7 linked regions of the Tribolium castaneum genome follow. Each later gene encodes a partner of the first gene's protein in a complex. Links are inferred from orthologs where the notes say so. Each region holds a gene or a part of one and is shown in the gene's direction. Other genes may lie near its edges.

Region 1 (4,115 bases):
TAATGATAGGTAAGAGAATATAAAACTGTTAGTAAACCAGCAACTTCAGTAAAAGGATAAATAAATGTTAGTAACAAAAGGAAAAGCAAAGTAAAAATTCAAACTTTTAATAGAAAATAAATACAAAAAAATGATAATTATCTAGAGGAAACTACACTAAACTACAATTTGCTTACATCTACTTCCCCGAGGAATGCAACGAGCAGTTGTTGTGGTACACCACGGAAAACAGGCTGTTAGAGCATCGAAATGTTCGTATGTGTCACTAATAACTGCAAATAACCACCACCTTTAGCCAGATTGTCATGCTAGTATTAAGAACAACTACAAGTAATTTGATTACCATGCAAGCATGTGTCGTTATCAATTTATTTACAATGTTGAGAAAACATGATTAGTAATAATAAGGACCAATCATTATCTAAATATTTTTCTGGTAATCAAAAACCAACAAAGTTACAAACATGCCCATCTACTGGTTTATAGAAAAATCGACTTACTAGCATTTGAAACTTCTTTAACATATTGCATGGCAATCCTTTTTAAATAATCAGCGTGCTCCTCCGCCACAAAAAACCCCATAAAATTTGGAGAAGTATACGTTTCTAGTTTTAGGGGCTCGTTCAACATAGCGCCCTGCCTTTCCATTACGGACTTTAGGCTTTGCGCCAGATGTAGGGCGTCTTCATCAGGCGCCTGTTACACATCATTAAACGAATTCAAAATTTATCAAATGAAATACCTTAAAAAACGAAACTAGCGTAATGTGCGGCGTGAAATTGTGGGCCCCGTTCCAGGCGCATTCCCTGTGCGACTTCTCCCAGAAGGTCTGTAACTGTTCCAGGAAAGGTCCCGTGGGACACGCATATAAAATGTACTCCCTTGGAGAGTTATCGTCCAGCAATGGGTCATTTACGTGGGCCAGTAACCAGTCGGAGGCCAACTGCACGCCCCTGTTACCAGTGGCAGCTAAGGCCTTTTCGCTGTGTGTAATTTCAAGTTACCCGAAAGTTTATTATCATTTTGTTTACTCACGCTCTGTGTTTGGGGAACCCCATCTGGAGGAGGATTTGTAGCGGGGTCAGGTGCTGTTTGGATATTTTTGTAGGTGTGGGGTTCCTCCTAGGGGGTAGTGTTGCCATTTTCATTTAATAAATTATTAATTTCAACTAGGTTAAAGTTTGGTGTTGACACTTCTAGTGGACCTTTGACATTTAAACAGTGACGTTTTTGTTTTGGTTTTGTTTGGGGAATTGGCCTTTCAGATGGCGGCACTGGTTGGAACACTGTCAAGTGTTGATGTCTGTCAAAATTTGCCCATTTTCATAAGAAAGTATTAAAGTGTGTTAATTTTTTATTATTTACACGTTATTCGACGATGGCAGGTGTCCTGTTTGAAGATATATTCAACGTGAAAGATATTGATCCTGAGGGAAAGAAATTTGATCGAGGTAAGTGGCTTTTATCGTCTGTTTGTTTGGATGTGTGACCGGCGTTTTTGAGGTTATGTTTTAACGTTTCGTAAAATTGCTCGAAATTGTGTTAAATTTTGAATGTATTTAAAGTTTACATCTTGTCTCATTTACCTCTGAATTTGGAAAGCGTGTGTATGTGGTTATTAATACGATAATACCGTCCTACTCTAAATATTGGTTATACCCCCCCACCTGTGTCCTAGTTGTGGCATCGATTGGTCTTTTTTAATGCATTAAGAATAAAACCAATAAAAACAGGCAGATAGAATAGATTTTTTTTGGTTAGAATTAATTACTTGAAGGACTTATATTAATAGAATTATGCAAAATTAGTCTTACAAAATTTTACTTTTATACTAATAATTTTTTAACGTATTAATTTTTGTTTAATACTTGTGTGGTTTGTAGGTGGTGTGTATGGGTGACATGGGCCGGCCCCCATTTTTGTTAAAACTGTTCGCTGTTTGAATCATTTGTGAAGACTGATGAATTACATGAATTAATTGTAATACAAAAAGCAATAAAATACATATTAAGAAACACGTAGGGGTTTAGAGCATTCTAGCTGGGATAATAAATGGATATATTAATTACACTAGTTTACAATTTTTTTTCTTTTACTAAGAAATCATTTCTACTAGGTAATTTTGTTTTCTACTTACTCACTGATAACAAAAATATACAGGCTATTTGGCAACACAGTATTAAAAAAACATTTAGGGTGTATCAAAATTGGCGAATTCCGAGTTCTGAGCACTGTAGAGAATTGCTTTAGTAGTCCAAACATCGAAAAGAGTTATTAATAATACGGGAGCAAAAACAAAAACTTAAAGTTCGAGAACTTTAAAAGCGTTTTCGCATGAGTGTTATTAAATTTTTTTTTTTGGAATATTTGAACTTAAATGAAAACACGTTGCTATGGGAAAAGCGTTTTAAAATAGTGTTTAAAATCTAGGATTCAGATATTAAAAAGAAGGCTTCAAATGTTACCAACAAAAAAATATTCGGGGCTGCCTCACAAAGATACATTGGTTTGAAGATTACTCTTTGAACTGCGTTTTTTTTAATTCAGCCTATATGTTTCAGTGTTTATTCTTATTTGTGGTGACGATGATTGTGAAGAATAATAACTGTGAACGATTTCTCAAAAAACTAGCTTTATTATTTTATATTTATATTTATTTTTTTATATTATTTTGGAGTTTTTAAAATCTTAATTTTTTTAATTTGCCGTTTTGTTTTTAAGAAAAATTACAAAAATTTAAATTTTTTACTCTAAAATGAAGCTGATTTTTTGAAATATTGTTTTACATTATTATCTTCCACAATCATCTACATCATAAGTAATAAAAATGAAAATAATGAAAAATTTTTAGCCTTCATTTGAAGAAAACGCAATTCAAAGTGAGCTGACGTGCACCTTCAAACCACTGTATCCTTGTGGGGAAGTTCCGAATCTTTATTTTGTTTTTACATTTAGTCTAGTGAAGTGATTCTTTACAACGCTCTGACCTCGGAATTTGTCAATTTTGAAACATCCTGTATGTTACATTTTTCTATCACATCTAGTTTTTTTTTAATGTTCACTAAAAGTTTTGAAAATTGGTTTCTGGTGTCTAATTTAGCATCCGTTGTTTCTGTGATGAACTAATTGTTAAACATTTTATTTGCTTTAAAATATCATTAAGTGAATGTATTAGACTTACCGATACGCATTGGTTTCATCTATTGGCAAAAAACGTTGTAAACTAGTGTTATTAGGAACTGAAATGAATAAAGAGAAGAAATACAAAGTAAAAAATTAAACCGACGTTTAGAAATATTACACTTCGAATTTTCCAAGTTAATACATTTTATTAAGTACTCCTACACATTTCAAAATGATAAAAATGCGATTTATTTTTGTTTCTATCATATTGAAATTAAATTGTTAAAAAGAAAAAGAAAATCAGTTGTTCCAGTAAAAATTAGTTAAAAATATTACAGGTAATAACACTGTAACAAAAAGTGAAAATTTTTGTTTTTATTCTGTATTATTACTATTATTAGTGTTTATTGAAAGCATAGGTCTTTTTGAATAAATTTTTGGTCACAATTTATTTTTAGTGTCGGTCTGCGAAAAAAAAGTGGGGGTTGACAATTTTTGATTTTACTCAAATTTAATAAGATGTTGTGATGTTATCCATGAAAAAGATTAATAATTAGCCACAAAACAACTTGTAACTTGATTAAATGTAACGAAAAGAACACAAATTAGTTATTAATAACAGAAAATTTGGTGGCACAACGCCAGTGGTCCTAAATTATGTTTAAAAAATCTAGTCATACATGCCTGCTTACTGGATGGTTCTAACAGGTGAAAAATGGGGTCTTCACTGTTCAATGTTATAACGAAATATGTCCAATTTTTGTCATTTTGAGAAAAATATAGAAACGTATGCTATAAAGTCCCTCTCTTTCAAATGCAATAATTGTTTTTGCAATAGAGTGGTTTATTTAGATGTTATTAAACAATTTTGTTATAACACCGAAAATTTGTGAACATTTGTTCAGCAGAATAATGAGATAAGTCAGTCAATCGTTTTCTCTCTATAAGTCTACAAATTACTATTAAATGTAAAGTAATATAAAAAACTATAA
Region 2 (4,087 bases), on another chromosome or scaffold:
CACAACAGTATTATTTTAAGTAATAATCTTAAGTTATTTGTTCATTCACATATCATTAGACGTAAGGACGGTTGTGTACCAAGTGATCATTTGAATTCATTACAATTAGAGTACCTACTGAAACTGATATTGAAAGAATGGTTAAGACTTGAGTCTACCAACTATTCGGAGGAAACTCTCCTACTCTAATTACAAATGACGACATATAATACTCGCTCATTAGTATTAAGTAGCGTCCTTGTTGTTGTTAAAGAGTTTTTTTACTCATTTATAAAATGTAGACGTAATAAATTATGATATTAATTTGAAACTACCATTCAATTATTTTTCCTTTATAAATTCGTTCTTCAGAGTCTTTTTGACAATATTGGTTACACACAGCGCGTGCTGTTAACATTTAAACAGCACTTTTTTAAACAGGAAAGTACTAACCATCAAGGTTTTTTACATTGTTCCATAACTGCTGGAAAAGAGAAATCAGAGGTGATTATTTCTGTTGTTTTTTTCCCTTTCCCAAAGATCATCTGAGGCAAGTGCCCTCGATCCGGCTCTGCCCCTATATCATGTAAAGAATCTTATTCAAAAAAAAATTAATACCTGCTTAAGTATGCTGAGTTAAAAATAATCGAATTCTTTTAGTTTTCGAGAGTAAGTTTGTTCTTACAAAGTGGATTTGTTTTAATTGTGAATCCTGTGAAGATTTCACTAAAATGTTTGGCTGAAATTATTTGCTTAAGAGATGAACTTCTGTGGTTGTCGGGTTGGACCTTAAAAATGTGCCTCCTTGTGTTTTTCAGATCAAAAAAAACGTTAAATGACAAAAATCAATACATTAGACAAACCTCCTTGTTCCCATCTTGTAACAATAAGTTACCTCACAGATTATATTTTTTGTTGGTGTCGTACTTGTTGCCGTGTCGTTTAATTTTACTCACTTTATGACTTACTGTTTTGTGAAAGAATTTTTGCGGATTAAAAGTTCCAAATTCGTTGACTAGTGCGTGCTGATCGCGGTTAGTGTGTGCTATTGAAAGGGATTTTTAAGGGGAAAAGAGAAAACAACCCGGATTAAAGGGTTAGTTTTCAATAATTTATTTTTAGAAAAGTTTCTACATTAAAATCTATAATATTTTCAACGAATTTACTGGTACAATGTTCCAATTTCACTGTTTTTTATTTCAGTAGGTTCGTGAAATGCTTTTGAATAGGTGATATTAACATCTTGTACTGATTTTACTTTTAATTTATTTTAATAAATTAGCCCGGCTCAAAATTTAAATAGTAGCCTTGCCAACCAAGCAACTTCGAAAAGCCACAACAAATAACCCTAGACGCAGACGTCAAACCACACGTTTTTCTCCTAACCTGTAAAAGATGTGATTTAAATAACATTGTGAAATACTGTTTTTATTGATTGACTGTGACTGAACCGTTGCTTTAATTTATGTAAGTGCCATATTTATCATTTTTTCAGAAAAAACAAACAAATTTCAGATCATTATGTCTTTATTCTCGGCCCCCACGAAGTCAACGACCCCTTCCTCGATCCTGAAGAAAACCCCAAGTCTCAAATCGACATTAAACCGCTCCTTGAAAGTGAACACACCCACTAAAGTCCGATTTATTTTACCACACTCTAAAAAAGTGCGCCACATATTGAAGGACTACATCAAACACGGAAATGCAAAGGATTATGAAAATTTAGTGTGCCTAATTCGCGATGCCGAACTGTTTGATGACGATATTTCCTCACTGTTGAAGGAAGCGACTGAGTGTATTTCAATAATGAAGCAGGAGTTACGTCTTTTTGTAGAAGCACTCCTTTCAGTTGACTGGATCGAAAGAAACGAAAATGTAGTTAAGGAGTATCAGTCATTTATTGCGAACTTAGTCGCTGCACATAACTATCACGCAGATTTTGTGATAAATAAATTAGTCACATTGTTTTTTCCCCGTAAGTTTGGTAAAGTAACTAATCACCAGTTAATTACCAGTGAATTATTTAGCTCTAACAGACCCTGAATGGGAAAATGGAACCCCCAGTAAAACGGATATTCTGAAGTGCCAACACGTCCACTCCCTCCTCTGTGAACTTCTAAGAACAGTCCCTTTGTAAGTAATTTTTCAAGTCTCAGGTACTTTCCGGATGTAATTATCTAGAGTAATAAGCAATTTTCTCTATAAAATAGTTTATAAATTAAATCTGTGCTAATGGGCATTTCAGGTGCAACGAATTGCTAATCCACGCCCTGATCGACCACTTCCCTTACATGAACAAATCGACCCACATCCACGAATACTACATCCAGAACCTCCTCTGGGTCATCTGCTACCAGCCCACTCTCAGACCCAACATCCTCCACTTAATTTTCTCAAAACTGATCATCATGGACGTGAGTGCGCCCCGCGAGGAAATCGCGAAACTTGAAGAGGAGGAAATTTTCATGATGGACGAGAGCAAAACAAACACTACGATAAATCTGGACTGCGTCCATTCAATGGCACACACTTTGGACGTTTGCCTGGATAAAGTGTTCAATTACATTTACTCCGAGTGCCATGAGCCGGGCACTAATGACTTGAATTGGGGCAAAACCAAGTCTTTATACCAGGATATTTTGACGGTCTTTGATCAGTCGATCCTGCCAACTTACAATACTCATCACGTCCAGTTTGTTATGTTTGTGCTGTGTTCCTTTAAAACGACGTTAACGGAGGCGTTTTTTAATTACTTGTGGAAGAAGGTGTGCAATCCGAACGTCGCGTCGGTGATTAGACAAGCGGCGGTTAATTATATTGTCAGTTTTATAGCGAGAGCCACTTTCGTCCCCCTTACGTAAGATTTTTTCAATTTTTTATGCCCCAGTTTAATGGAAAATTGCAGCATGTTGAAGGGGACTTTGCAACAAATGGCCGAATGGATCCACTCGTATATCGCCACTCAGGACGGCCTAGAGTGCGTCAATTCGGACCTAAGGCTCCACTCTGTCTTCTACACAGTGTGTCAAGCCCTCTTTTATGTGATTTCGTTCCGGCACAAGGATTTAGTCAACACAAAAAAAAGTAATGATTTTTTTACTCGAACATTGTCACAACTTTGATTACAGATGTCGTATTTTTGGAGAGTCTGAACTTGGCGAAAATCGTAACCAGTCGGTTAAACCCGTTGCGGGTTTGCCAACCTGCAGTCGTGCAAAATTTCGCTGCTATTACCCGAAAGTACCAACTAGCCTATTGTTACTCAATCATTGAACACAATTCGAGGAACACTTTACCGACTGTTTATAGAGACGAGAAAGGTTTTGTGACAGTTTCAAGTAACGTCCTAGAGGCGTGTTACCCGTTTGATCCTTTTGTTTTATCAAGGTTCGTTGCACCGTTTTTTGGGGGATTCCCCTGACTGTTTTAATTGCAGGTCGAGTGCGAAAGTGCACCCGTTTTATCGGGACTACAAGGAGGTGAGTTTTGAGGTAAACGATTCAGAAATGAGGGAAATTGGGGACGTTGACGATTTCCTCGAGAATGACTTTAACTCAAAAACGCAGAAATTCTCATACGGGACTTCGCCAGGGTTTAAATTTAAGGGCTAATGTGATACTGATTTATGCAAGATGTTATTTATTAATTTGATAGGAAAATAAAGTTTCTCAAAATATGACCTATATTTTAATACCGTTATAAACATGAATATATTATAAATATAACAAAAAATCATAAATAGTTTTTCCACAAAGGAGGCACATTTATACAAATTTCTCTATTAAAAAGTAAACTCGTTATTTAGACTGACTTTCGAGTTCCTGTTCGACAAGTCGTCTGTACTCATCAAAACCTTCTATACTTCGCACAGAGCCATTACCACAAACCCACAACTCCTTGCACACTTTGCGAATAAGCCGCTCGTCGTGCGACACAAGTATCACACCGCCCTAGAAAAAATTAAGCACAAGGGAGGTAAAAAAATAAAAAAGTGTATGGTGGTAATGTGATCACCCAAAAGTGGTAAAAGCGTTAACTTACGGTGAATTTGACTATCGCATTCCCTAAAGCTTCAATTGTTTCGATATCTAAATGATTGGTGGGTTCG
Region 3 (2,471 bases), on another chromosome or scaffold:
TAAACAGGGTGTTGCATTTGAAAAAATCGAGTTATTGCAATATGTAGTTTGTCATATTCAGAAAATCGTAGTAGGCGCTAAAATATCGACATCGAGTTTGCTTTTATTGCAAAAGATGCGCTAAAGCTTAAGAAGTTGGCTAAGAAAAAAAATTGTTACATTATCTTAAATGGTTCTGAAGTTATACATTTTTTGAGGGTCTTTGCACGACACACTTTTCACACATAAATTGACATAAGTCAAAAACTATGACAGATAAGTCTATAAAACCCGGGTGCATTATATCGACAATTTAGTCACGTTTTCAAAAATATAATAAAAATTGGGGTTTCCAATTAAAAAAACAAAACCTAGTGGAGTATTTTATTACAACATTACAACATAAAAATATTGTAAGACCTATCGTTTAAAAAAACTTTAAATTGATAGTTTGCATAGAAAAAAAGTTATGGAGCATGCACGAACTCTTGGGTCACTCTGTATATGCACTACCTCGTGAGACACCCTGTATATTTTAGGTGCAAAATGCTTGGTTCAATACTTTAAATTGAAATTAGCTGTTATAAATTATTCACGCACTTCAAAAAAATAATAGCTAATCTAATTTATACTTTCAATGATAGTTCCAATCATAAATAACAATTTTACAATTTTATCAATACTATTTAAAAACAATATTCGGCAAAATGCGGCGTTGGTGTTTTTTAAGTTTTGAATGGTAAAAGCTCAGATCAAAGTAGTTAGCGTTGTTATGTTTACGCAATTGTTTATTCATTGTTTATTTGACAATTTATTACCAAACAATTACCACTTGTTACCAAACGTATATAGTTATTTTTTTTATATAAACAACTGTCAGTGTCAAAATTCTGATAAGGACAAGACTGTATCAGTACTTAATCTTAGAACATTTTATCGCGTTTTATATTGGGTTTAAATATTAAACAATTCCTACCTTGAAACGGGACAAATCCGCTTGTGTAAAATCATTCGGCAGATTAATGTAAAAGTATGGAGAAAAACCATGAATATGACAACACACACTATTGCCCACTTTTGTAATACCAAACATTCGAATCACAGGAACAGTACCAGTTTGAGCCCCTGGCATTCCAGGATAAGGGGCTGAAATGTAATGATCCAACTCTAATTCTTGAAAAATTAGTGCATCATCAGTGGGGTTTAAATCGCCAACTGGGGGGCGAAAAATTTTGTCGTTCCTTCAATTAACCAAATAGAAAACAATCATTTTTTGTCAAGAAATCTTACTTGAACCTCTTCCCTGATGAATTCGGAGGCGGAAGATTGCGTTTTGTTGCCATTTTGCTGTAAACAAACGGACTCCAAACAAGATATTTCAGTTTCTTCCCGCTTAAAATAATTATAGGTTATGTTGTCTTGAAATGCGTGAAGTGTGACCAATATGTAAATTGGAAAATTCCCAACAGTTGACACATGTGTTTTTTAGGTTAATTTTTCGAATTAAATCACTCAAAAAATTAAAAATGAGTACTGGCCCTAATTTTGAAAGTATCGAAGGGTTTTGTCCCGACTGTGGTTCCATTTTGCCACCTTTAAAACAAACAGGAGGTGTGAAATGTTATGCCTGTGAACGCAATTTTCCATCAGATGGTAAGTTAAATTTGTCTCAATGATAATTCTAAAGAATTGATAATACTTTTTTTGTAGTTTTTCGAGGAACTAAAGCTTCATATGTGATACACTTCAATTCGCGAGACTACAAAACTCATTCAATGAACAAGCAGAACAATAAAAAGGATGAAGAAGAAGATGATGGTCCTGTTGTTGATAGAAAATGTGCCAAATGTGGTCATGATAAAATGACTTATGCGACAGTTCAATTGAGATCAGCAGATGAGGGCCAAACTGTGTTTTATACTTGCACAAAATGTAAATTCAAAGAGAGTGAAAATTCGTAATTGGTCAATAAATACGCATTTTTGTTAATAACTAATTTATTCAATTTAAAAGCATTAATAATTAAAAAAAATGAACAAATAATCTATAGTCCTATGGAGGACTATAGATTAGGAAGCGAGACGGGGTGTAAAATAGTACGGTAGAATTAAAATTGGGCGCTTCGAGTGTTATTTGGCGCCTAATAATCGTTTTACATTAATTTTATTTCAACCAATTAATGGAAAAAATACATCCGTACCGTAATAGGTTGAAAAAAAGTGACGCCCAAAATTTTTACGAGAAACGTGAAAAACAATATTTGAAATCTGCCGCATTGTCTCATATTTTTCAAAACGCTGCAAATACAGTTGAAGATACAAAAAAATGACTAGTGACTGTTTTAGGCTCTACACCAACTTACAACATGAGTGAAAGTGAGACTTAATTGTTTGTGTTATGTTTTTACTTAATAAAAAAAGTCTACCTTTTATATTATTGCTTTGGATGTTACAAAGTTCTGTTTACTTGAATCACCCTGTATTTTTACGTTA
Region 4 (3,500 bases), on another chromosome or scaffold:
ATACTTCGTTATTTTGCTACCATGTTTGGTATTGAAAAGAATTCTATAAACCTTGGATACTTTTACGGTGAACAATGATCATTTTGCGTTATACACAAAAATACTTTGGATATTTTTATGTTGGATGAAATTACGTTTTTGACTTTTTTACGGTGGACAGAAGTATTGTAGCAACGTTTTCTTTGTACACCATGAAGTTTAACAACAGATAATGGTGTTTAAGATCAGCGAGCCTCACAATAAGATGTTTTGACAAGGGCGACCCGAAAATATTTACGATATCGATCGGTTCGTTGAAAGATTGCAACCTGTCTGCAATAAATCACACAATAAGCTTGCCTGAATAATTAATTAGCTTGAAAGGTCCTTGTGGTTTGGGCTAATCATAATAAAAATCATTTTACTTTGGACAGAAATACTTTGGACTTTTTTACTTTGGACATAATTGGCTCTCCCGTTTTTTAATGAGTTTTCTATTATAAATACTAAATTGAAGAGGTCTCCATTTTTTAATGAAATGGAAAAACTACTTAACTGGTTAGGTATTTTGCTTACAAGGGCAAAAATAATAAAAAAATCTCATCAAGTCCAATTGTTAGGGACAAATCTTCTTTTGAAGGTTTTTGGTTTTATATCTGTTCTTATTTCTTCACATTACATAATTATGTATTCTGTAAAACAGTAAAAAATCTAAGTACAACACATTTCTTCTACTTTTAAAGAATGCATTAAATTTAATTTTGACTTGCATACTTTTGCTGAAAACACAAAAAAAAATAATACGTAATAACGAGTATGTAGTACGCTATTAAATATTTAGCGAATTTTTTCATAGCTCTTTTAAAATAATTTTTAATTATACATCAATGTGCATTTTACACTTTGTATTTTTGTTATTATTAATGTTCTGATTTTGAATTTTTTGAAGTTAGTCACTTGCACTTTGCGTATATTTTAATTACAAAAATCGTAGTTGCCAACAAATTTATTTTTTTTGCTGCCACCTACAAAAACAAAATTAAAATTGATTTTTTTTATTTATTTTTCTATTGTTGTTACACTTTTATTTAGTTCTTAAAACGCTTATTTTACAGGTTTTTATCTTTAGAGTTTTTGTTTATAAGCTTCAAATAACTGTTTTGTTGTAGCTGTCGAATCATTATTATACATTAATTTGCTTCTCTTATTTGCATTTTTTATGTGGCAATGTAATTGTCTTCTTGTGTTTATTTTTATTTTTTTAAATTACCAAATAATTATTCTATTGCTGGCTGATTAGTGATTACTGATCACACCATTTTGCAGTAATTTTTTTTAATTTGGATTAGAGAAAAAGATATAACAGCTACAAGGGAGAGAACAGTAAAAGATGCTCAATAATTTAAAGAATTTTGAATTAAAGTCAAACTTTTTCAGTCTGCGGATTATTTTTTCTTTCACAAACAATTCAGATAGGGATAAAAAGGGTAGATAATCGAAAAGACAATTCATTTATCATCGATTTTTTTTATTTGTGAGCTAGATAAATCATTTGAAATTGGTTGAAATAGTTGGTACAAATTAAATGCACAGTATTTTATTTGAACGATTTATTTTATTTACTGTGCATTTATTATTTTTACTGTGCATTTATTATTTTTTACTGATCAAAATCGAATTTATTACTGATCGCTTTATTTAATTTAATTTAATTTAATTTGTCGATTTTTTAAATTCTTTTAGTTTTTGGTTCATGAATGAGCTAAAATTTCCAGAATTGGCTGAAACCACTGAGTATATGGTGAAACAAAGAAGCAAATAAAGAATAAATATTTGCATATTAAAAACATTGTTTTTTATTTTGTTATACTTTTCTGTTTCTTATTCTTTTTTCTATGTTTACGTTATTATATCTTATTTTCAAAAACTAGTCGGTTTGTTTCGACAAGATCTGTTGGAAGTTATTTTCTGGTGAAAAAAGAGAATTTACTAAAACATTTTTCGGACCTGCTTTCGGGACTTTTTTAGTTTATTTCAGTGCCTAACTAGCCTGAATTTTAAGAGCAATGAAATAAAAAAAATGATCTATTCAAATAATGGTAAGCACAAGGTAAAAAAATACAGAATCGGCATTTTCAATAGTAATTCGAGACAAAAGTACAAAAATTTTAGTGACAATAAAAAAAAATATGGACGTATCCGAATTGCACACCATGGTGAGAAAAACAGGAACCTCTTGACCAGTTGTCCCTTATCGGTAACCGAGCGGTGCATCAAAATTTTATAATTTTATTTATTGAAGGAATAATAAAAAAAATCAGTATATTATCTATCAAACATTATAGGGTAAGTTCGAATAAGATAGATTACATACAAAAGATTGCAATTTGTTTTTCATTTGGTTATTCAAAAAAACTTTTTTCTTTACTGCTCGTTAACTGAATTTTTACATTATGTCGTAACTTAAAAATTTAGTAAATTATTTACAAATGTGAAAATATTCACAAGGAGAGACACTTCCTATCCTTACCTGTGTTTGATTTTGTTGAAAATTGACGGTGGTATTCAACGAAAAAAAAAAACTTTTATCAAAAACTGTTTAGTTCTAATTTTCATTGGGTAAAAAAAGTGTAAAGAGTAAAGTTGTGAAGAATCAAATTTTCTGCTAAAAACTGGAGACCCTATCTCTATTCTCAGCTGTTTTGGTGCTATCCTGTCATTCAGCCACCAGTAAAAAAAATAATTTTTGTTTTAACGTATTTATTAAAAACCGAAGTGTTTTGCAATTTTTCGTGTTTTTTTTAGGTGTTACGACCCACATGGAGCTCTCCAAACTGGCCTTCCTCTCAAACCTAGCCCAACTAATCCCCATGCCCGACTGCAACCAATCACCCCGTAACATGTACCAGTGCCAGATGGGCAAACAAACAATGGGCACTCCTTGCCACAACTGGCGTTCCCAATCCGAAACCAAACTCTACCGCCTCCAAACACCGGCGACTCCCCTTTTCCGACCCGTCCACTACGACAACATCAACCTTGACGACTTCGCCATGGGCACAAACGCCATTGTTGCCGTTATCAGCTACACTGTAAACCCATTAACTTCGGAAAAATCCCCAATTGAACCATCTGTTCCCAGGGCTATGACATGGAAGACGCAATGATAATAAACAAAGCCGCGGACGAGCGTGGTTTTGCCCACGGTTCCATTTACAAAACCGAATTTGTAACACTTGAACACGAGTCTTCGTATTTTTGCCGAAACCCGGAAAAACCGGAACTGGCCGAATTCTTAGACACGGACGGCTTGCCAATCATCGGACGCCGAATGAAAGATGGGGATCCCCTGTACTGTTACTACAGTGTGGACGAGTCGGTGTACAAAGTAACCAAGTTTTCGGGGAAAGAGGAGTGTTTTGTCGACATGGTTAAACTGTGCGCCAGTTTTGAAACGACCAATCGGACGGCGTGTTTCACGTTCAGAGTCCCGGTACTTCCCCCACATTTTTTTTTATTGA
Region 5 (3,447 bases), on another chromosome or scaffold:
TGCCTTCAAGAAAGTGAAAAAAAAATTTTTTTAATGTGTTCTATCATAGTTTTTCGTACTTATATGTGCCTTTACAACCCTCTAGGGTTGTTAAAAGTTCAAAAAAAATCCTTATGTTCGATTTTTTAATATTTGATTTTTTCAATTTTCGTCGCAGTTTTTGTCGGTTTTGGGTACCCGGAACATTTCTCGAGCAATAGCTCCGGAACTATTAGAGATAACCCCATGAAGTGTATTATCGTTGGAAAGCTCTTTTAATTGTCTATCTTTTTCAAAAAAGATCTTTGCTCTCCGACTAATAGTTTTCGAGAAAATTGCAGATAAATGCAAAAATTGGTAAAATTTTAAAAAATTCGTAACCAAAAAACTAGTGGGAATTTGGCAATTTTCTCGACGCCAATCGATTCCCTGGATCATTTTGCATAGGTAAAGATCAAAACAGTTCCCCTTTTTCGAATAGTTTAGTCGTAATTGAGAATATAATAAAAATTAAAAATAAATTAAGACCTCCCTCCCCTCCAAAATGGCCATTTTTAAAAGTGTCTCAGAATCAAATAACACTTATCCTTTCTTATAGATTTTGATGTGCTCTTTACGATGGAAAAAAGAGTTTTTTCCTAGCTCTTTTAGTTTGGCCGTAATCGGCGATTGAAAATTATAAAACTTTTTGCGAGATATCGCTTTGAGTCCTATGCCATTTTGTAGAGTTTTTATTGCGCTTTTCTACAATTCTTCCGTTTTTAGATAACTCTAATAATTTCGCCGTAATCGGCAGTTGAAAATGGAAAAAAAGCGAAGATGGAAACTTTATTTGCGTTTTTCTCGGAAACTCTAAGACTTAGAGAATCAAACTAAAAAAACGGATGGCGCTTAAAATTATCTATTTTTTCGTCCAAACCCGGAGCTGCTCCGGGCAACGGTTCCGGTTACAGAGGCAATTAAAGTTTTACACTAAAAAAAATCATAACCCAAAAAGTAAAAGTCGTTGGGCAATGCGGTTTGTTTCATTTTCTTTGTTATACCAGCTTTTTTTACGAGATTAAAAATTTTGATTTTTTTTGCTAAATTCTGCTATATCGTAAATTAACTTAATTTTTGTATTTCGCGGTAAAATAATTCGGGCAGCCATTTTGTGCTTTAGTCAACCCACAATACACCACTTTTTTACTATTTTCTTATTGCTTAAATCTCTTTTTTGTACCCATAAAAACCCCACGACTCACTAATCACCATACGACTTTTTTGTCGTGGTAGTAATTTTTTGTGATAAGAATTGATAAAAACTCTTCATTCCGGCGCTTGCGCACTATCCCCGATCGCGTCCTGCCGTTACCCCAAAATTTTCCTCATCTCTCGCCTTCATTTTCCATCAAAATGTCGGCCATCTGATTTCCCTAACCTCAAAAGTGCATATGTGCGCGTAAAAATGCCATTATCGCCCGTTTCCACTCTCGGAAACCGTTCATAATCAGCTTAACGTAGTGTGGTGCGCCCCCAAGGCCATGTCGAACTCCCTGTGCAAGACTTCGGTGCTCCGCATCTACCAGGAGGTGATCGACGACGTGATCAGCGGCGTCCGCGAGATCTTCCTGGAGGACGGCGTCGACGAGCAGGTCCTCCAGGAGCTGAAGCAGACCTGGGAGACCAAGCTCAAGGCCAGCAAGGCGGTGCAGAGCGAGGAGGAGAAGGCGAAGAAGGCGGAGATGACCGCCACCAACGGCTTCCCCAAGCAGCATGTGGCGCAGCCGGCGGCAGCCCCCGTGGGGCAGATCGCCGAGACGAAGATGGTCCCCATCCAGATCACGCTCCCGGCGCAGCCCGGCAGCGACCAGGGCCCCAGGATACTCACGATACAGGTCCCCGCCACGGCGCTCCAGGGGAACCAGCTCCAGAAGGTGCTCACGGGGCAGATCATCACGGGGATGATGAATTTGCCCGCCAATATTGCGTCTTCGGTGCTCCAGCAGCACGTCAACGCGGTGTTTAACAGGTAGTCAGTTAGCCCCCTTTTAACTTAAATCGTCCACGCAAAATGTTTTCGGGTCACCCTGTACAAAGAAAAATACATGTTTTGTGCACACTTATGCAGATATTTTTGTCAATAATTGTTTTAAAAATTTTCTAATTATTGTTTAAAATTTTATCGGATTTTTAATAATGTTCTCTTCGGAATAAATAAAAAAGCTTGTAATAATTGTAGTTTTTTGTTATGAGATAACGTGTTTTTAACAGCCAGCAGCAGCAGATCGTGACCATTGTCAACCGAAACATCGCCCAGACGGACGGAAGCCACGCCGAGGAGGAGGAGGAGGAACAAATCGAAATCGAGTTTATTTTGCCTAGGAAGAAGGTGCCCCAGGTGGACGGCCCCGTGGACACGTCCGACGACGATGAGGACGGGTCTGACGACGATAACGACGACGAGGATATCGATGACGATAAGGACGAAGAGGATCAAGAAATGGAGGAAGAAGGTGGTGAAGAAGAGCCCCTGAACTCCGAAGACGATGTGACTGATGACGACCCAACTGATTTGTTCGATACTGATAACATCGTTGTTTGTCAGTACGATAAAATCATAAGAAATAGGAATAAGTGGAAATTTTATTTGAAAGATGGGATAATGAACTTGAGTGGACAAGATTATGTCTTCCAAAAGGCTAACGGTGATGCGGAATGGTAATTAGTGTTTTTTAAGAAGTTTTGTTTTTTTTTTATTATTTTCAAGTCACTTGCACGCAAAACCCGTCACTTATTCAAGGGAACGTTGGGTTCCGACTTAAGTTATTGAACTTTTGTATGTAAAATGGGAGAATAGCCTGAGTTGTAGAATTGTGTTATCCATTATAAATGTAACTAATAATAGGCGTTTAGATTTAATCGAAATTTTTACTATGTATTATCAATTATCGATAGCCGTTTGTGAATAAAACTATTTTTGAAGTTACACCATTGGTCGTTTTTCTAACACCTGGAAGATGACAAAAATCGCAAATTAGCAGCTCTTTTGAAAAAAAATCATAACTCAAAAACTAAAAATCGTAGAGCAATGCCTATAATGGAAAATTATATTCAACAAAAAAATTCATAATTCGAAAACTAAAAGTCGTAGAGCAGTGCGGTTCGTTCCATTGGATTCAGCGCCTTTTTTTCTCTATTATACTAATTTTTCACGCAATTTAAAATTTTCAATTTTTTTGCTCAAATTTCCTGAGTTATACACTTACTTACCTTCAAAGAGGTGAAAAAAAATTTTTTTTAAACTAACTCCAGCAAATTTTTATGGACTTCTACATGTCTTAACAACTCACAAAAGTTGTTAAAAGTCCACAAAAAGTCCAAATGTTCGATTTTTTGATGTTTGATTTTTTCAATTTTCGTCGCAGTTTTTGTCGGTTTTGGGTACCCGGAACATTTCTCGAGCAATAGCTCCGGAACTATTAGAGA
Region 6 (3,264 bases), about 8.0 Mb from region 1:
TGGATTCAACCAGTTTTGGTAAAAAGTTCAGACTTGTGCCCATAATACACGTAAAACCGCTCGCAGCAGCCCCCAAAATTGCCTAAAAGTGGAAATTAAGTGGGAGATATGGCCATAAAGCCCCTACTTCGTCGGTGCCCATAAAAACGGTAAACTTTTCCCTATTTACCGCCATAGCAGCGGTGCTCTGTTGTATATCATTCGTGCTATAAATGACGCCTACAAACGAATCCACTTCTCCCGTTATATCCAGCAGAAACGACGTAATATCAACTAAAAATGAATTTTTTCGTGTCTTGTTCATCGTTCGAAACGCTTACTTTCAACTTGCGTAAACTTGGGATTGTGGTGATAGAGAATGGGGACGTTTTTTGTAAATTCTGATATTAATTTTATGTACTTGATTAGGTCTAGGTGGTTTTTTGGTTTGTTGTAAAGGTCGGGGAGGATTACAACAGCGCCGATGTCCCTCTTAGCGGCGTGTTTTGCCTACAAATGAAAAATATTAACAGTTTTAACAAATGTTTAAACTACCATTTCTATAACGTCTTTGAGGGGGGCTCCCCCGATTTGTGCCATCAAAAACTGATTTGTTTTTTCACAAGCGTCAGCCCACGCGTCCGCCAAATCTATTCTTTCATGAATGGTTAAGGACATTCCTTCCCCGGTTATGTCATTAACTAAAATTGACCATTTAATTTAATTCATTTTCTAGAGTTGCGAAATACTTAAAATTCCTTTAATATTGCAAGCTTTTAAAAAATTTGCGTATTTTGGTATAGCCTTAAGGTTTACATCAGGTGTCACTCTTTTTAAGTTAGTAAATGGGGTAAAGACGGGGCACAAAAGCCCCCGAAATTTAAATTTCTGTGCCTTGAATGCAGGCATTGCCGCTTTGAGGGCATGTTTCTTTGACGACATGTGTTTGTGAATGTCGGAAATCCCGCATCTGTAATCCTTTTTACAGAATTTGCAGTAGAAATACGTATTTCCATGTATGCTCTCTGATAACCATGCTTTCAATTCGGGTTTATTCTCCCATTCTTTTTTGTACTTTGGTATGTATTTCTGCGGGAAGGTGGTTGGTTTTTCATTTGGTGTACTGGTGACTTACCTTCGAGTTACTGTCTCGTGATTTCTTTGACGCTGGTTCAAGATTTTCGTCTTTTTTGTCGTCTTGTTTCTCATTTTCTTCTTCGCTGTCTGACTCTTCTGGCACAAAATCGGCAAACAGAGCCTTAGCCGTTTCAGGTGTGCTTATTTGTGAGTCTTTTTCAGCCTTGCTTTTCGTGTTTGAAGCTTCCTGTTTGGAGCATTCGGGTTTCGTCATATTTTTCAAAAATTGTTTATATTTTTCACAAAACATAACCTAAAAAGCTGACATTTTAAGTGGCTTTTGGGTGGTAAGGACGGTAAGGTTGGTAGTCATTTTTACGAAAAACGTGCGTTGTTTGAGGTTATCCAAGTTTTTGAAACAAGTTTAAAATGGATAATATTCTGAATGACGAAAAGCCTCGAGTGATTTTAGGAGAATATAAAGTGACGCAGGTATGTCCTTTATTATTTTGTATTAAATTCCTTCAAACATCCTTTGAAGAATTTGCCCTCGGAACCAACTGTTTTGGACGAGAAATGGGACTTGAAAACCTTTAAGAAGAGATTTAGGGTGGTGATTGTGCGAAGTGAAGAGAATGAACTCGAATTTGACTTGATAGGGATTCACCCGTTCCTAGCAAACACTTTCAGAAGGTTAATGTTGAGTGATGTCCCCACAATGGCCATTGAAAAGGTTCACATTCTTAATAACACGTCTATAATCCAAGACGAAGTTTTGGCCCATCGTTTAGGCCTGATACCGCTAAAGGCCGACCCCCGATTATTTGAAATGAAAACTGATCGTAAGTCTTGTAATGTTGCCGTTCCAAACGTTACAATATTTTTACAGCAACTGCTGAAGGTACCGAACAGGATACTCTAGAGTTTGCGTTAAAAATTAAATGTACCAATAATAAAGACAGCAGTAAAGACTCACTGCGAGCTGAAGATATGTACAAAAACAATAATGGTAATTACCCCGTTTGAGAAACAATAAAAATTGCAATAATTTTAGTGTATTCAAAACACATCAAATGGGTGCCCATTGGTAAACAGAAGGAGCGGTTTAGTGACGTGGGCCCCATCCACCCTGACATTCTCATTGCCAAAATGAGGCCAGGCCATGAGTTAGATTTAAAATTATTAGCAGTCAAGAGCAACGGGCGAGACCATGCGAAATTTTCTCCTGTCGCAACCGCATTTTATCGCCTTCTTCCCGACATAAAATTATTACGAGAAGTGGAAGGTGAAGCAGCTGAGAGACTCCAAAAATGTTTCTCTCCCGGTGTGATTTCAATCCGACATGAAAAAGGCCGCAAATACGCTGTTGTAGCTAATGCGAGGTATGATACAGGAAGTCGGAATGTTTTCCGTTATGAAGACCTCAAGGACGCAGTAGCGATGACCAAAATTCAGGATCATTTCATTTGTAAGTTTTTTTTTATTTACTTTTTCAGTTTTTATTAATTGTAATTTAGTTACGGTCGAATCTGTGGGGGCTTTACCACCTGATGTGATATTCATGGAAGCTGTTAAAATATTAAAAGACAAATGTCTTGCTTTATTAGATGAATTAAGTCATGTATAAACATTTCACTTAATATACTTTTATCAAACCACAAAAAATATAATGAACAAGGTTAAAAATAAAAAACATTTGACGCGTAAATTTTTGCTACCTTAAACCTTCCTTCACCTATTGTCTAGTAAAAAATTAAATTGTAAATTGACTGGAATCGGAAAATTATTGCCTAGGCGTAATAACTGGGAGGCACTGTGAGATCACTTAAAACTAACAGTTCTTCCTCAGTAAATTTGAGTTTGTGGATTTCCCAGTTTTCGTGATGCGTTCGCTTGAAATCTCCCAAGGTTTTGCGAATTGTTGCCTAAAAATTATTAATTATTTTTTTAAACGACGAAAGTGTGACTCACAGGAATGGGTTGGGGGTCGTTCAAATGGGGTCCTAATTGTCCAAAAACATCCGGTAAAAAGTCAGGTACGTCGTATGGATGGCTATTGATAAAAGCACACAAGCCCAAAACTCCAGCATGTCTAAATCTTAAAGTACTAAGATTCAAACTGTTTGAATTGTTCAAATTTTTCTTCTTCAATTTAGTTTTCGCTTTCTGTTTAAATTGCGCCTAGAATTCACGAATTATTTAACGATA
Region 7 (3,970 bases), about 10 Mb from region 1:
ATTTAACCCATTCCACATGAAAGCCCATTAAATACTCTACCTTTCCTGAAAATTTCATCCCTCTAAAAGTTTGGGAAGACATCCAACCCTTAGTTTGAAATATGTCAACATTTTATTAATAATATTAAATATTTTTTTAGTACTATTTCTTTTTGTCGACGCATTTAACCCATTCCACATGAAAGCCCATTAAATACTCTACCTTTCCTTAAAATTTCATCCCTCTAAAAGTTTGGGAAGACATCCAACCCTTAGTTTGAAATATGTCAACATTTTATTAATAATATTAAATATTTTTTTCTAGTACTATTTCTTTTTGTCGACGCATTTAACCCATTCCACATGAAAGCCCATTAAATACTCTACCTTTCCTGAAAATTTCATCCCTCTAAAAGTTTGGGAAGACATCCAACCCTTAGTTTGAAATATGTCAACATTTTATTAATAATATTAAATATTTTTTTCTAGTACTATTTCTTTTTGTCGACGCATTTAACCCATTCCACATGAAAGCCCATTAAATACTCTACCTTTCCTGAAAATTTCAACCCTCTAAAAGTTTAAGAAGACATCTAACCCTTAGTTTGAAATATGTCAACATTTTATTAATAATATTAAATATTTTTTTTAGTACTATTTCTTTTTGTCGACGCATTTAACCCATTCCACATGAAAGCCCATTAAATACTCTACCTTTCCTGAAAATTTCAACCCTCTAAAAGTTTGGGAAGACATCCAACCCTTAGTTTGAAATATGTCAACATTTTATTAATAATATTAAATATTTTTTTCTAGTACTATTTCTTTTTGTCGACGCATTTAACCCATTCCACATGAAAGCCCATTAAATACCTACCTTTCTTGAAAATTTCAATCCTCTAAAAGTTTGGGAAGACATCTAACCCTCTGTTTGAATTAGTATGTCGTTCTATTAACTTTTTTTTTCAAATAATGTTTTTGAAGAAGAAATTAACGAATAATTATCTTATTTAGGTGGAATCTGCCCCCTAAATAATTGGGTAGCATGCCCTCCTCGTTTTTGTTTTGCCTTTATTAGGCGGTTTCACCTTTTTGTGTCAACTAGTAAACTATCTACATCCCCCATTGCTTTCAAAGATACAACAAGTTTGAAATTGCATTTACTTTATTTTTTTTAATAACAATACACTTGAATTTTAAAAGAAAATGAGTAAATAATTTATTTTCTTATAATTTGTGAGAAACGTAGCAACGTCGCAAAGTGCTGAAAACGCACATCCGTGATTTGACTGGTCCGCTGGAAATTTCATGGTGCTAGCTCTTTCCAAAGTGCTATCGTCACCGTAATATTTTTGACCAACCCTGCCACCCAAATTCCCCAACGTTTGAATAATTAAAAAAACATAGCCAAAATATTTTATGCCCAAAAACTTGGCATTTCGAAGCAGAGCGAAAACCAAGTTTTTTCTACACTTATTAAGACGAAGCGAGTGGTTAATTAAATAACAACTCCTTCGGAGGAAAAGTTGGGTTAGCTTTAAATCTGACAATTGCGTTGACAGTAGTTACCCTAACCCTAATTTTAAGTTTGCAAGGGGGCTGTTTAAATGGCAGACGCCGAGCCCGCGCAACCCAGCTCGCTTTTTTTGAAACCAACAAACTTAGAATGTAAAAACTTGTACGACTACTTAAAAACGCGCTCTTCGGCAACGTTGGAAAAACTCTACAACCATCCAACGATTTGTTTGGCCGTTTACCGGTAAAAACCCACTTTAAAATTCCAAATTTCGATTGACGATTTTAGAGAATTGCCAGAACTGGCACGCCAGTACGTGATTCGAATTTTGTTCGTTGAACAGCCGGTGCCCCAGGCAGTTGTGGCGTCATGGGGGGCTCAGGCCTTTTCCAAGTGAGTGTTTAAATGCGCTTGTACACACGAAAAGGGGGGTTATTTGTAGAGAGCACGTTTATGTGAGTAAGGTTTTGAGCGAATTGTCGGTATGGCAGGAGGCTGCGATTCCAGGGGGGCTCCTAGGTTGGATCCTTTCAGTTACGTTTAAAAAGAATTTGAAAATTGCCTTATTAGGGGGGTGAGAGTGTAATTAGTGTGATTATTGCAATGACTGCGTGATTTATCCCAAGGGGCAAACCTTGGAGCATGTCTTCGGCTTTAGAAGTTGACAGTAAGGCAAGAGATGTGTCTTTTTTGGACGCTTATTCGCTCGAACGGTGGGAATGTGTGTTACATTACATGGTGGGGTCGCAACAACAAGAGGGAATTTCTGCGGATGCTGTCAGAATTTTACTACACGCTGGGCTTATGAAAAGGTTGAATTTCTCCAAAATTGACTCGTTATCTTATTTATATTTATGTAGAGACGAGGAAGATGGCAGTCCTGTTATAACACGTCAAGGCTTCCAGTTTTTACTCTTAGATAGGCAAGCACAAGTTTGGCATTTTTTACTCCAATATCTCGACACAGTTGAGCAAAGAGGATTAAGTCTGGTTGAATGTTTAACGTTTTTATTCCAACTCTCATTTAGTACACTTGGAAAAGTATGTCATAACTCATAACACTTGGCGTTTTTTTTTAATAGCAACATTTTTTTGTAGGATTATAGCACTGAAGGCATGAGTCCCGGCCTTTTAATTTTTCTCCAACACTTGAGAGAATTCGGATTAGTGTATCAAAGAAAAGTAGGTCTTGTTTTCGTTACCATGGTTACCAAATTTTTTTTTCTGGACGTCACATTCCACAGCACCCATGATTAATGTAATTAATTTTGTAGCGCAAAGCAGGCCGTTTTTACCCGACCAGATTGGCCTTAAATATTACGTGTAGCCAAGGCCCCGAAACTCGAATTTTGGAGGAAGACACTCCAAAAGGTTACATAATTGTAGAGACAAACTACAGGGTTTATGCTTACACGGATTCTAATCTTCAAGTTGCTTTAATTGGTCTTTTCACAGAACTGATGTATAGGTGGGTCACAAAATAAATAAAAAAATGTTATGACTATCGGACTTTTCCCAGGTTTCCGAACCTTGTAGTGGGCGTAATAACACGTGATTCCATAAGACAGGCTTTGAAAGGGGGAATCACAGCCGATCAAATTATCGGGTACCTCAAACAACATGCACATCCTCAAATGTTGGAAGGTGAGGCCAAACATCCTCTACCTCCGACAGTTGTGGATCAAATCAAACTGTGGGAAATTGAGCGGAACAGATTAACGTATTCAGAGGGCGTTTTATACAGCCAATTCCTATCACAGGTATTACAAGAAAAATTGTTACGCGGTTTTAATTTGTGTTTTAGGCTGATTTTAATATACTGAAAGAGTATGCACAGTCTAATGGCCATCTAATTTGGTGTAACAAAGAAAAACGGACTCTAATCATCAATAAATCGGCACATGATGATGTTAAAAAGTTCTGGAAGCGATATTCGAAAGGAAATTAATTTAGATTTAATAAAAACTTTACCACTGATCGTGTTTCATTTAAAATTCCCTCGCGGATGAAACAGTATCGCCAATCTAAACCAATTCTGTTTTCACGCGAAACGGGCGTTTTTCGCTACAAATTCGTATCAAAATGTTGGGAGTTTCGGCCCAAGTGCTTAAACTAAAAAAAACATGTGGAAGCGGGTCAAAAATTTGAGTTTTCGCCCAATTTTGGTTAAAATCTGGCCAATAAATTGTTGGCAATCCTGCCGACAAGTGTCAAACGTCATGTTGACATTGACAGTTCCTGTAAAATAACAATACGAAATAATTCGTAATTTGTGCAAAATGCCTGCCGCTGTGGACAACAGCAAGCCGGATCGGTCCGAGCAGATGTGGAAGGTGCTCAAAGCGCACATTCTGCGTGAGCGCGCTCGCAAAAAGCAAGAACGGGAGGCCGAAGTGGAAGAGGAACGTCTCCGTAAAGAACGCGAAGCTCGCGAGCAACAAGACGTCATGACTTTGGGTGAAACCCGCGAACAGA

Evidence for each region.
Region 2: Polr2H (region 1) and Tif-IA share a complex: the UniProt entries of both Homo sapiens proteins name them as parts of the pol I pre-initiation complex. The link is inferred for Tribolium castaneum from reciprocal best matches to the Homo sapiens genes POLR2H and RRN3.
Region 3: Polr2H (region 1) and Polr1H share a complex: the UniProt entries of both Homo sapiens proteins name them as parts of the pol I pre-initiation complex. The link is inferred for Tribolium castaneum from reciprocal best matches to the Homo sapiens genes POLR2H and POLR1H.
Region 4: Polr2H (region 1) and Polr1B share a complex: the UniProt entries of both Homo sapiens proteins name them as parts of the pol I pre-initiation complex. The link is inferred for Tribolium castaneum from reciprocal best matches to the Homo sapiens genes POLR2H and POLR1B.
Region 5: Polr2H (region 1) and TfIIA-L share a complex: the UniProt entries of both Homo sapiens proteins name them as parts of the TBP-based Pol II pre-initiation complex. The link is inferred for Tribolium castaneum from reciprocal best matches to the Homo sapiens genes POLR2H and GTF2A1.
Region 6: Polr2H (region 1) and Polr1C share a complex: the UniProt entries of both Homo sapiens proteins name them as parts of the pol I pre-initiation complex. The link is inferred for Tribolium castaneum from reciprocal best matches to the Homo sapiens genes POLR2H and POLR1C.
Region 7: Polr2H (region 1) and mrn share a complex: the UniProt entries of both Homo sapiens proteins name them as parts of the TBP-based Pol II pre-initiation complex. The link is inferred for Tribolium castaneum from reciprocal best matches to the Homo sapiens genes POLR2H and GTF2H4.

Annotation. Positions count from the first base shown.
Region 1 is NC_087396.1:10,332,757-10,336,871, reverse strand, and holds the start of Polr2H (DNA-directed RNA polymerases I, II, and III subunit RPABC3), read left to right. Parts: upstream 1-1,315; 5' UTR 1,316-1,378; coding exon 1,379-1,451; intron 1,452-4,115. Other genes in the region: Epp (ecdysteroid-phosphate phosphatase), read right to left, coding at 177-272, 501-696, 743-983, 1,036-1,148. UniProt on the Homo sapiens protein: DNA-dependent RNA polymerase catalyzes the transcription of DNA into RNA using the four ribonucleoside triphosphates as substrates.
Region 2 is NC_087395.1:22,076,404-22,080,490, forward strand, and holds Tif-IA (RNA polymerase I-specific transcription initiation factor RRN3), read left to right. Parts: upstream 1-1,287; 5' UTR 1,288-1,446; intron 1,447-1,494; 5' UTR 1,495-1,500; coding exon 1,501-1,954; intron 1,955-2,006; coding exon 2,007-2,112; intron 2,113-2,224; coding exon 2,225-2,836; intron 2,837-2,884; coding exon 2,885-3,063; intron 3,064-3,107; coding exon 3,108-3,366; intron 3,367-3,415; coding exon 3,416-3,590; 3' UTR 3,591-3,658; downstream 3,659-4,087. Other genes in the region: ATP-binding cassette sub-family F member 3, read right to left, coding at 3,777-3,929, 4,021-4,087. UniProt on the Homo sapiens protein: Required for efficient transcription initiation by RNA polymerase I (Pol I). Required for the formation of the competent pre-initiation complex (PIC).
Region 3 is NC_087397.1:21,420,328-21,422,798, forward strand, and holds Polr1H (DNA-directed RNA polymerase I subunit RPA12), read left to right. Parts: upstream 1-1,416; 5' UTR 1,417-1,505; coding exon 1,506-1,632; intron 1,633-1,689; coding exon 1,690-1,940; 3' UTR 1,941-1,971; downstream 1,972-2,471. Other genes in the region: PolD1 (DNA polymerase delta catalytic subunit), read right to left, coding at 956-1,220, 1,270-1,322. UniProt on the Homo sapiens protein: Core component of RNA polymerase I (Pol I), a DNA-dependent RNA polymerase which synthesizes ribosomal RNA precursors using the four ribonucleoside triphosphates as substrates. Can mediate Pol I proofreading of the nascent RNA transcript.
Region 4 is NC_087399.1:7,561,557-7,565,056, reverse strand, and holds part of Polr1B (DNA-directed RNA polymerase I subunit RPA2), read left to right. Parts: intron 1-2,784; coding exon 2,785-3,071; intron 3,072-3,121; coding exon 3,122-3,472; intron 3,473-3,500. UniProt on the Homo sapiens protein: Catalytic core component of RNA polymerase I (Pol I), a DNA-dependent RNA polymerase which synthesizes ribosomal RNA precursors using the four ribonucleoside triphosphates as substrates.
Region 5 is NC_087395.1:25,201,029-25,204,475, reverse strand, and holds TfIIA-L (transcription initiation factor IIA subunit 1), read left to right. Parts: upstream 1-1,293; 5' UTR 1,294-1,502; coding exon 1,503-1,990; intron 1,991-2,232; coding exon 2,233-2,683; 3' UTR 2,684-2,947; downstream 2,948-3,447. UniProt on the Homo sapiens protein: TFIIA is a component of the transcription machinery of RNA polymerase II and plays an important role in transcriptional activation. TFIIA in a complex with TBP mediates transcriptional activity.
Region 6 is NC_087396.1:18,341,018-18,344,281, forward strand, and holds Polr1C (DNA-directed RNA polymerases I and III subunit RPAC1), read left to right. Parts: upstream 1-1,373; 5' UTR 1,374-1,485; coding exon 1,486-1,548; intron 1,549-1,597; coding exon 1,598-1,898; intron 1,899-1,945; coding exon 1,946-2,065; intron 2,066-2,110; coding exon 2,111-2,524; intron 2,525-2,573; coding exon 2,574-2,683; 3' UTR 2,684-2,764; downstream 2,765-3,264. Other genes in the region: N-acetylneuraminate lyase A, read right to left, coding at 1-82, 128-273, 321-489, 535-680, 729-1,068, 1,115-1,366; proteasome activator complex subunit 4, read right to left, coding at 2,847-2,981, 3,028-3,237. UniProt on the Homo sapiens protein: DNA-dependent RNA polymerase catalyzes the transcription of DNA into RNA using the four ribonucleoside triphosphates as substrates.
Region 7 is NC_087396.1:20,771,892-20,775,861, reverse strand, and holds mrn (general transcription factor IIH subunit 4), read left to right. Parts: upstream 1-1,386; 5' UTR 1,387-1,509; intron 1,510-1,535; exon of another isoform or gene 1,536-1,566; 5' UTR 1,567-1,586; coding exon 1,587-1,738; intron 1,739-1,783; coding exon 1,784-1,888; intron 1,889-1,937; coding exon 1,938-2,069; intron 2,070-2,121; coding exon 2,122-2,307; intron 2,308-2,355; coding exon 2,356-2,536; intron 2,537-2,593; coding exon 2,594-2,677; intron 2,678-2,769; coding exon 2,770-2,963; intron 2,964-3,014; coding exon 3,015-3,255; intron 3,256-3,299; coding exon 3,300-3,443; 3' UTR 3,444-3,470; downstream 3,471-3,970. Other genes in the region: G protein pathway suppressor 2, read left to right, coding at 3,775-3,970. UniProt on the Homo sapiens protein: Component of the general transcription and DNA repair factor IIH (TFIIH) core complex, which is involved in general and transcription-coupled nucleotide excision repair (NER) of damaged DNA and, when complexed to CAK, in RNA transcription by RNA polymerase II.